Linked DNA regions of Mus musculus: region 2 is reported to be linked to region 1. The links are microRNA targets in miRTarBase. Many come from high-throughput screens and were not tested one by one. Region 1 holds a microRNA gene; the other region holds the end of a gene's coding sequence.

What was found. Region 1 holds the annotated microRNA mmu-miR-9-5p (UCUUUGGUUAUCUAGCUGUAUGA, at 2,445-2,467, opposite strand). A microRNA usually pairs through its seed, bases 2 to 8, with sites in the 3' UTR of a target mRNA and lowers its output. Matches are read on the target gene's strand: a 7mer-m8 pairs with bases 2 to 8, a 7mer-A1 pairs with bases 2 to 7 and ends in A, and an 8mer does both.
Region 2: the mRNA of Hes1 is a reported target of mmu-miR-9-5p. Seed matches in the 3' UTR shown: 7mer-A1 at 1,089-1,095.

The regions. Positions count from the first base shown.
Region 1 is chr7:79,502,674-79,507,745 of GRCm38, reverse strand. It overlaps Mir9-3 (microRNA 9-3), which reads right to left and starts at 2,482; the gene lies at 2,393-2,482. All of the region lies in intron 1 of Mir9-3hg (Mir9-3 host gene), which reads right to left. It overlaps Gm51285 (predicted gene, 51285), which reads left to right and starts at 2,410; the gene lies at 2,410-2,467.
Region 2 is chr16:30,066,624-30,071,695 of GRCm38, forward strand. Hes1 (hes family bHLH transcription factor 1) reads left to right here. Exons shown (of 4, transcript NM_008235.2): 4 at 249-1,173. The coding sequence ends at 805. Gm32998 (a long non-coding RNA gene) reads right to left here and starts at 3,815. Exons shown (of 3, transcript XR_876001.2): 1 at 3,490-3,815; 2 at 2,264-3,307; 3 at 1,240-2,024.

The DNA of each region.
Region 1 (5,072 bases):
CAAAAGAACCAAAGGCGACACACATTTGAACTACACCTAAGACACAGTCGTGAAGCTATGTGACCACCTTGGTGTAGGAAGGACTGGCTCTTACAAAAATAGCAAAGGAGAGGGGCCAGGGAAGAGAAGGCTCTGAGTACCGGGGCAGGCTCTGGGGAAGCCCCAGCCCATCCGTGAGACGTGGAGGCAGGGAGTGCTGGGCAAGCAGGCTGAGAGAGCTGCTCTGCTTTCCTCAGAAATGAGGTCACCACCAGCACACAGGCTCCCAGGTGCACCAGGAAGGGGGAGCAAGCCCAGTAGATGCAGTTGGGGGGAGGGAGGCTCCTGGGTCCTCAAACACGCGAGTGACCCTTCACAGGCCTAAGAAACGGGAAGGAAAAGATGAAAGGACCTCGAACCCCTTCCTTCCACCCAATGAGTCCCTGAGAAGGAGGCACAGAGACAGCTGCTTTCCTGCCACCGCGTTTAATTTTGTCTAACATTCCAAGGCAATGCAGTGAAAAACTCTCCATCTACCGTATGGAAGCCACACCTTGCCCCTCCCCAGACCCAGGAGGTTCTCCTTTGTATCACTGAATTTATTTTTACTTTTACACAAGTCACCTTTTTGTTGTTAAGATAATTTTGCTAAGCAAAGGGTGTGGGGGGGGGGGAGGAACGGCTGGTAGGCACAAAGATGGAAAAAGATTTCTATTATCACAAGGGGGCTGGGCAGGTTCTGGATAGAGGCTGAGAGACCAATCTTATAAATAACTAAGGCAAGAGGCTCTTGGGATTGAACTGGGCCAAGATGGAGGTAAGGTGACCTAGGTAGTGCCCACCTCTGCACTTCTGCGCTGTGTGTGCTACTCCCTAAGGAGTAGGCCCTCACCCCCCAGATCTGCTTCCTTAATATGTTCAAGGAAAAGAAAGCGGGTCAAGTCAGGATGGTAGCACTAATCCTTCCCAGTCAATCTGCTAAAGCATGTATACACTGATATGTGCCTTAAAGAACCCCAAAAGACCCCAAGCCTTAAGGTATGTGAACTGACTTTGGATCCTTTCTTCCCTACACTTGATAGGGTCCATAGCTGGGTCTACATCCACCACGCGGGAGCCCTAATGGTTTCCTAAGTTGCAGGGGGCCCCAAACTTCAAGATAAGGAAAGAGTAAAGGGAGTGGCAGGAAGGAGAGGGACCTGAAGGCAGAGAAACCTCAAAGGGACCTTCCGCTCCTTGTGGGGCTAAGAACCACGGACACAGAACATTGGCACGCCCCACTCGCAGCGCCCAGCTAAGAGGGACCTGGAGCTTGAGTGGCCGGTGTGCAGCATTGGGTTGCCATGGGAACGGAATTCAGATTTTTTCCCCCAATTGCTTTTTTATTTGCTAGACATTGTAATACATCTTATGTTGCCATTTATTGGGGCGGGAAGGAGAGGAGCTCCAGAGAGCCTGGCTTCCCCCTTAACCAGTTGGGGAAGTTGGGGAGGCTCCGGCCCCAGCCGTCCGACCAGAACTATAGAGGTTTAGAGGATCTGGGCTACGTCTCTCCCGCCCAGCAGCCTGCTCTTGGTTTGTATGCAGGGCAGGGCCGGTCGGTCGGGGCGGGAGGCCCCCCGCCTAGGCCCCTTGCCATTGAGTACACTCCCCGCCAGTTCTGCTCCGCTTCACGCTGCACACAGACCCCCCAACTGCACACAAAGGCAGCTGCCAGAGCCGGTGAAAAGTGATCAAATTATCAAGAACTTGACCTCACCGAGGGGCGAAGCTCCAGCAACCCCCCAGCCGTATGCTAATGGTGCTCAGGGGCTGACTCGTCGAATAATTCGATAAAGGCTGCATTGTTAGCGGCAGGGCAGCCCCCTGCCCACCCTTTTACTCCCCCTACACACTGCCTACCGGTCTCTCTCTCTCTCTCCTCTCTCTCTCTCTCTCTCTCTCTCTCTCTCTCTCTCTCTCTCTCTCTCTCTCTCCCCCTTCCTCTCTCTCTCCCTTCCTCTCTCCCTTCCTCTCTCCGTTCTCTTTCTCATCGCATTTGCATCCCAAAATCCTAGTCTGCAGCTCAGGGCGTGGATTGTTCTAGCCTGATTTATGGGGTGAAGGCAAAGGCTGGCGCCTTCCCCGCCAGCGACCCCTCTGCAACCCCAGCCCGTTCCCTGCCCCCAACCCACTCCACTTCGGGGTTCCAGCCTCGGCGCTGGGAAATGGTGATGGGGGTGCAGGGACCGAGGAGGAGGTGAAGGGAATGCCTCCAGGACACGGCAAGTGTCCCCAGGAGAGCCGAGGTCGGATACCTGGTCCCGGCGTGGCCGCTCCGTCGAGCTGGAATCCCTGGGTGGCGTGGGCTTCTCTGGGCTCCTCTGGCTCCTGTGGCCAGGGCGGCCGGCCGGGCCATCGCACGCAGAAGTTGTGAGAGTCATTTCTACTTTCGGTTATCTAGCTTTATGACGGCTCTGTGGCACTCATACAGCTAGATAACCAAAGAGAGAAACGGGCCTCCCATTCGCCGGCACCGCTGCCGCGCTGTGGGCCCCACGTGCCGCCGCCGACCCGGCGCGGGGGCCTGAGCGGACTCCGCTCCCGCAGCCCCGGGCGCACGCGGAGAGCCAGAGGGGACCGACAGACACACAGACACACGGACTCCCGCCACCCGGATCGCCCAGCTCCCTTCCTCCCTCGCCCTCGCGATTTCTCCATCCCCAGTTCCCCGTCCAGTGCGTGCGCGGCCCGCTTCGACGCCGTCCCGGGGCGCACTCGGGTAACCGGCGCTCTGCGCTTGGGCAGCCTCGGGCGCCCTGGCGGCCCCCAGCGCACTGGACCATCAGCCCTCCTCTCGCAGGCTAATCGCCCCGCGGGGAAGTGACGTCAGTCGGGGGATCGGCCTATCACGGGCTTCCATTCAAATCCCAGCCCCCTTCCCGCGCTCGGCACCACCCAGCCTTACAATGGCCTCGGCGTTCACGGCTTCTGCGCCGCGAGGACAGGGGAGCGCCTCTTCTGCCCTCAGAAGCCTTAGGCCTGCTTGCTTGGATGCACACAGTCTGGCCTTTCTCTCAAACCTCTCTGACCTCCCAGCAACGTCTTAGGTGCCTGGCAGCCACCGCAGACCACCAGAGTTAGAGTTTGAGGGAAGAGGTTTAAGGTCGAGGTCTCTCCAAGGCAACCAAGTGAGCGCAGGAGAGGCTGCGAACCGGTCACTTTATCCTTAAGGTCTCTCTTCCTTTTTTTTCTTGCCCAGCACTGTACAGACACCGCGGTAGAGACTGGGGATTAAGGGAAGGAGTGGGTGTCTAGATCAATGTATCCCATATATATTGCCTGACTTGTAGGGATTCCCATGGCATGCTTCGCTCAAACCAGGTCCTAAATGTCGGCACCAGATTGTTAGCCCTTTCCCTCTGACCATTCCTAGTACAGCCAAGGATATGTAATCAATTGTGCCCCTGCGCCTTAAAGATATCCAAGGCCGTAATTGGGCTCCTATTCACCTCCCATAAAAATAATCAGCTCCTGCCATCTTTCTGCTCACAGCACACCCTAGCCCACTTACTCCAAGTGACTTTACAGGGCAAAAGAATTGACATTTTGAGGTTTCACAGTAGAATTGAGCCTGGCCACCAAACTGAAGTCCCGTCTCAGTCTCCTAAACGTGGTGGTTTAGAGGTTGCTCACCTGAAACCCATCCTGTCTTCCTTGCTCCTGTACACCCCTCCCACTATGAGCCCTGATTCACCCCCTTCACCCATTCCTGGGAGGCAAAGGATTAAATATGAAAAATTCGATATCTCCTTCCCCCCCCCCCAGTCATCCCTAGAAAGATCTTAAATCCAAGATCTAGAGATTGACTTAACAATAGAGTGGGGGTGGGGGGTAGCGGGTTCCAGGATTCCAGCAGTGACTATGAGGGAGTCCCAAAGACTCTCTGTGCTAAGGCATCCCCAAAGCAGCCCAGATTTGGTGGGGGTACTCATTCAGATCTGTTTTGGTGAGGCGGGGGGGGGGGCACCCCTTACACACTCTCCATCAGCAAATCCCATAAGGCTGGGTTCAAAGAATAGGCCCAAAGTGGGTGATTTGGAAGGGATCAGGGAATTTTTCTAAAGGTATCTAAAGCAGTCTCCCTTAAATGACACATCTGGATTTTTTTTGTTTAATACCAGGCTTTGGCACCACACCTCTGTACCCCGTGCTTGTTTTAGATTCGTCCTATTTTTTATCTTGACCCCAAATCCAAGGTGGGCTGCATCCCCACTGCCATCCCTGTCAGCCAGTGAGCAAGCCAGCTAGCAGTTACACACCTCTTTCCAAATGCCACCTCACAGACAAATCCTTGTCTCAGAAAAAGGACACAGGCTAGACTGAAAAGCATCAGAGAAACAGAGGGGCCGACCTACCGACAGCAAGGCCCAGGAAGGAACCTCGAATTTGGGCCTGCCTGGTTAATTCTAAAGGATTTTTCATAATTAGGAGGTGTCCCTTTCTTCTCCTCCTACAGCCTCTGGAATCTACACCCTCTTCCATTTAGCTGTGTGTCTGTCAGTGTGGGCGGCCTCCTGCGCTCTAGTCCTTCTGGGCCACCCTGAGCTTGGATGGGTGGAACTGAAGAGGCAGAGGGAACTGTGCAAGCACGATTCACCTGAAAGAGGGGGAGGGAGAAGAAAGAGGGGGAGTGGGGAGCAGGAGAGAGGGGAAAGAGAGAAGGAGCGTTCTCAGAGTGTGATTTAAGCAGGACGCTGCACAAAATGGCTCCTCGGCTGTGAGGTTCATGGTTATAGCACGCTGGAGCCCTGGCCTGAGAGCCTAGGGCTGGTTAGGAGTCTGGGAGAAAGACTAAAAAGCTTGATTTTGCTTTCTGTTCAGGTAAGGCAGGTTAGTGCCACCAAAGCCACATTTCTGTTGTCCTTTAGGAAACCATGTCCCTTGCCAAAGCAGGTGAGGCCAGCCAGGCAGAGGTTCCTACACCATGCTGGAGTGGGCTCTGTCTCCAGTGTCCGGGTGCATGAAGGTGTTATCAGCTCTCTCTCAGGAAGGAGGCCACAGTGAGTGTGGGCCTTGGGTCATCCATTGCTTGCCCTTTGGAGGATGTTCTG
Region 2 (5,072 bases), not on the chromosome of region 1:
GTCCAAGGTCAGGTCGCGCGCGGGACTAGGGGTGGCAGATCTGGAGCTGAGATCGGTTTAGATGGAGGGAGTGTCCTGGCTTATGTCCCCAACCTAGGGAGAAGGAGCTGGCTGTTCTTAGCCTACCCAACCCTCCCAACCCCAGGTGGTTCCGGAGGCGCGCTGCGGGGACCTCCCAGGGCGGGAGGCTGTATGGCTCCGGGGCCAGGGCTTTTCGGTGACCCATCTTTTCTCCTTCTGGCCTGCAGCCGCGCTCAGCACAGACCCGAGCGTGTTGGGGAAATACCGCGCCGGCTTCAGCGAGTGCATGAACGAGGTGACCCGCTTCCTGTCCACGTGTGAGGGCGTTAACACCGAGGTGCGCACTCGGCTGCTGGGCCACCTGGCCAACTGCATGACCCAGATCAACGCCATGACCTACCCCGGGCAGGCGCACCCCGCCTTGCAGGCGCCGCCGCCGCCGCCCCCGTCAGGACCTGCCGGTCCCCAGCACGCGCCATTCGCGCCGCCGCCGCCGCCGCTTGTGCCCATCCCCGGGGGCGCGGCGCCCCCTCCCGGCAGCGCACCCTGCAAGTTGGGCAGCCAGGCTGGAGAGGCTGCCAAGGTTTTTGGCGGCTTCCAAGTGGTGCCGGCTCCTGACGGCCAATTTGCCTTTCTCATCCCCAACGGGGCCTTCGCTCACAGCGGCCCGGTCATCCCGGTCTACACCAGCAACAGTGGGACCTCGGTGGGTCCTAACGCAGTGTCACCTTCCAGTGGCTCCTCGCTCACTTCGGACTCCATGTGGAGACCGTGGCGGAACTGAGAGCCTCAGGCCACTGCTACCCGTAAAGTCCCTAGCCCACCTCTCTCTTCTGACGGACACTAAAAACGAACTTGGATTTTAGGAGAGACTTTTATAATTTGGTGGTTATTTTGTTGCTTTTTTTAATTCTAAAAAGTTACTTTTTGTAGAGAGCTGTATTAAGTGACTGACCATGCACTGCATTTGTATATATTTTATATGTTCATATTGGATTGCGCCTTTGTATTATAAAAGTTGAGATGACATTTCGTTTTTTACACGAGATTTCTTTTTTTATGTGATGCCAAAGATGTTTGAAAATGCTCTTAAAATATCTTCCTTTGGGGAAGTTTATTTGAGAAAATATAATAAAAGAGTGAAGGCTTTTATGTCTTAGAACTGATTATTTCAAAATTTGTAAAAAAAAAAAAGTGGTGGGGCTTGAAATTCATGTAGTTTGGCAATTCAGAAATAGGATGTATTTTTTAAAGTTTTAAACAGGAACCATCAAACCTTTCAGCAACACTCAATGATCTAAGAAGACCTAATTTATGAGAATTCATTTGATGGGGCTTTCCTGATAAACAGTCCTTATTTTTTTACCTTCCAAAGGGCGGCTCCCAACTCACTCCCTGTAGTAGCCACTGGCCTCCTAAAGTAAAAGCGCGCTCAAGCCACATTGCAGCCCTCCAGCATTGGGACCTTCATTTGTCTGTCCTTACTCAGGCGTAGCTAGGCATCCCCTGGCACCCGTATCACAAAGTTTGAAATGCCTCTCTTCACCCTCTTCAAGCAAGCTGAAAAGGTCAACAGATTCTCTCTGCCAGGGTACAACTAGTTAGACTCCCAAGTGGAGCCCGGGCCAGATGATTAACAGCAGACATATGTTTCTGATAAGTTTCTGCGCTTGACTTTAATGGAGAAAGCATGTGGGGGTTGCGCTGGCAGGCACACGGGCCGTTTTTCCCCTTTTAATACAAACAGCAAGCGACCCCTTCGCATGGTCATGCCCCATTTCCAGGCAAGATGTGGGCTCCAGATAGAAGCAAAAGGGTTGTCTCGGGTTTCAGCTCACACAACCCTCCTTAACAAGTCCTAACTCAAAGCGGACAGCTTTAAACTGTGCCAGGATCTGCAGGGAATTTCTTCCAAATCCCATCACAAAGGCTTGTCAGATTTTCTCAGATTTGGCCAGGTGTTTGACTGCATCCAGGTGTTGGGGAAATGAAAACCACGAGCCCTGCGAGACCAGACACATCAGCCGCGCTGTGGGTCTGGCCGGCGCGCCCTTCCTCCCCCACAGCCGGCCAGTCCTCCGCCCAGCCCCCGCTCCTCCCGCCCGCCTCTCAACCCCCTACCCCCTTTCCCTTACAGCGGCGGCTTCTGGGAGGAGAAGGATGAGGCGGGAGAGATCAATCTTTGAAGCTTTCCTAACAAAGATAAAGCCAACGATTTTCTGTCTTGTTTCAAAAGCCTTACCTCTCCCCCGCCTGGCTGTAGCCTTTCCCACAGGCCAGCGCCGAGTGCGGCTCTATCACAGGAATGATCTAGCAGACAGCAGCCGGTTCTTTCCAGGACCTTCAGCTTCGACCCCCGGAGAGAGAGGTTTAAAAGATTGTTTTGTTTTGTTTTGTTTAATTGGCTCCTATTTGCCTTATTTTCTGCCCAAGAAAGGTATTCAACGCATACTTTGTCATTCCATTTTTTCCTGGTTTTCCTTTTTGTTTATACATAAACATAGTAACAATTACTCCATTAAGACACATCCCAAATTTAGATATTAAAGTCCTCTGTTTCCACCAAGAATTCCTAGCTTCTGTAGTAGAAATAATCAAGACATCAGGAACTCAATTTTATAAAAGTAATTCCTTTTACATCTATGGAGGAGGGGGCTACAAGGGAAATTAATTTCTTCATGCATCTTTATTAATGTCACCAAAAGTGTCACGCAGCAGCTTCAGGAAGAAGTGAGAGGAAAAGAAACCATTTGTTCTTTTTGAAAAGGAGTGCCCCCCCCCGTAATTTGGATTTACATTATTAAATGAAGCCTGTTCAAGTATAATATGGAGTAGAAGAAAGCCTATATCCCCGTTGGGAGCTTTTACATTGTTCTATACCACTGAACTTATGGCAGGCACCACCTTGGATAAGTCATTTCCCTTCTCTAGGATAGGTCCAAGTTCATAAACGCTATAGATTTATTTCTTAGACACTGCTGCCTCCTGTATCCCTGCTGTTTCTTAAATCAGTAGCTGGGGGTTGGGGAGATGAAGCATTCCAGTTTATTCTGGCATCCCTACAGATCCTCTGGGCCTGGCCTAATTATACCACCTCAGGGCACACCCAGCTGCCTTGCCCCTCTAACCAGATCCGGATGAGTAGATCTCTCCTGTGATAAGACACAGCTCCAAACTCTGTCCTTGAGGCCAGAGACCTCGAGGGCCTCTCCTTGAAGGTCCTTGGAGCCTCTCTGCTCTCCGGAGGTTCTGGCAGCAATCTACAGAGGTAGATAGAGGTGAGGGCCTGATTCTGGGTGAGCAACTGAGGCTCGCCCCTTCCTCGGGGTCTCATCCTGACCCCTCCCACGCGCTTCTGCAGTGGGGACCCAGAGGTTTAACCAGACCCCCACATCGTCACGGGGAACCTGTCATTAAAGTCAATTAACTTTCCCCACACCCTTTGGCCGGTAACAACCCGCCGCTCACTTCCTCCGGGCTTCTAAGTGCAACCAGATGGGCGGGCGAGCTGCCCCCGCCGCGCGCCCGCCGGGGTGGCTCGGGGTTCCTGGGAGGCCTCGGGGACCGCGGCCGGGCGGGAGCGGCCCAGGGCAGCCACACCGGGCCGGCCCCGGCGGCCCTGCGGCCAAGGTGGCTCGCCCAGCAGGCCCGGCTGCTTTCTGGCAGGAAATGAATAGCTCCCAGATGAGCTCAGGCAACCTGAGAGGTCGTGAGAACGGCGCGAACCCCCGCCTGTGCAGCCGGCAGCCTGCCAGGCCGCGGGGAGGGCGGGCGGCGGCGGCGGGAGGCCCGGCGGGCGGCGGCGGGGGCGGCGAGGGGCGGGAGCCGCTGACACACGAGCCCGCGCCCGCTCCCGCTGACAGGCAGGCCGCCGCCCCCGCTTCCCCGCCCCGGGCCAGCGCCGCCCAGGCAGCAGGCCCCAGCCGCAGAGTCTCGGCCGCCCGACCCGCTGGGGGTGGGGCGGCCTGCCAGTGTTTTTCCAGTTCTCCCGGTAGCTCGGGGCAGCGTTTAGAAGCCGCGGAGCTGGGCGGGGGCCAGGGTCGGGGCACCGGAGGCCTGCAGGGCCCTGCCAGGAGTCAGGCCAGCGGGACAGGAGAAGGCAGGCAGGGACCACCTCGGACATCCCCCACCCCAAATGCCTTGCACCGGACAAGGATGCTGGGGACCCTAAGAGAGGGGAGCCTCGTTTCTAAGCACCTTGAGCACCTACTAAGCTCCCGGCAGCCTGCAGCTGGCGCTAAAATGACAACTTTGGTGGCAATGCAGTCCTGTTTAGCCACCGAGACAGCCCAGCTTGTGACTAATCCCACGCGTGATGTATTAGGTGCCAGGACTTAAGTTTAAACAGAGGGCGCCCAGACGGATGAGTTCCTGCTGAGGAAGAAACCAGGGAAGTTTTTCCCTTCAAGCAGGGAGGAGAAAAAGTCAACACAAAGGACAAACAGGCTCTAGGTGTCCCCTAGTGTCCTGCTGTTTTCTGGCACAGGTTCGACTGGAACTGGAGACCAAAGCCGCCTGCCTGGACCACAGGGATAGCCGGCTGTCCTCATTTCTCTAATAGAACGGTTTACCTTTAAAAATAAAAAAAAAAAGTCAGGAGCAAGGTGTGGTGGCAATCCCCCCAGGCGCTTGGGAGGTGGAGAACTAGTAGGAAGTGAAGGAACAAGGTCAATTTTGTGTTAGTTAGGCTAGCCTGGGCTACCTGACACTGTCTGAAAACAACAGAAATAAGTTAGGATTTGAAGGCGGGCAGTGGTGGCACATGCCTTTAATCCCAGTACTTGGGAGACAGAGGCAGGCGGATTTCTGAGTTCGAGGGCAGCCTGGTCTACAGAGTGAGTTCCAGGACAGCCAGGGCTATACAGAGAAACCCTGTCTCGAAAAACCAAAAATAAATAAAAATAAAAATACTTAGGATTTGGTTGTCAAAGAGAACAGAGACAGTTAAAATGTAGATGGAGAAGTTGTAGTTTTACTCTTTAAAAAAAAAAACTAATGTTTTACTATCGTTTTTTGTATTTAACTATTCAAAATACAAGCTCTGTCAGAGT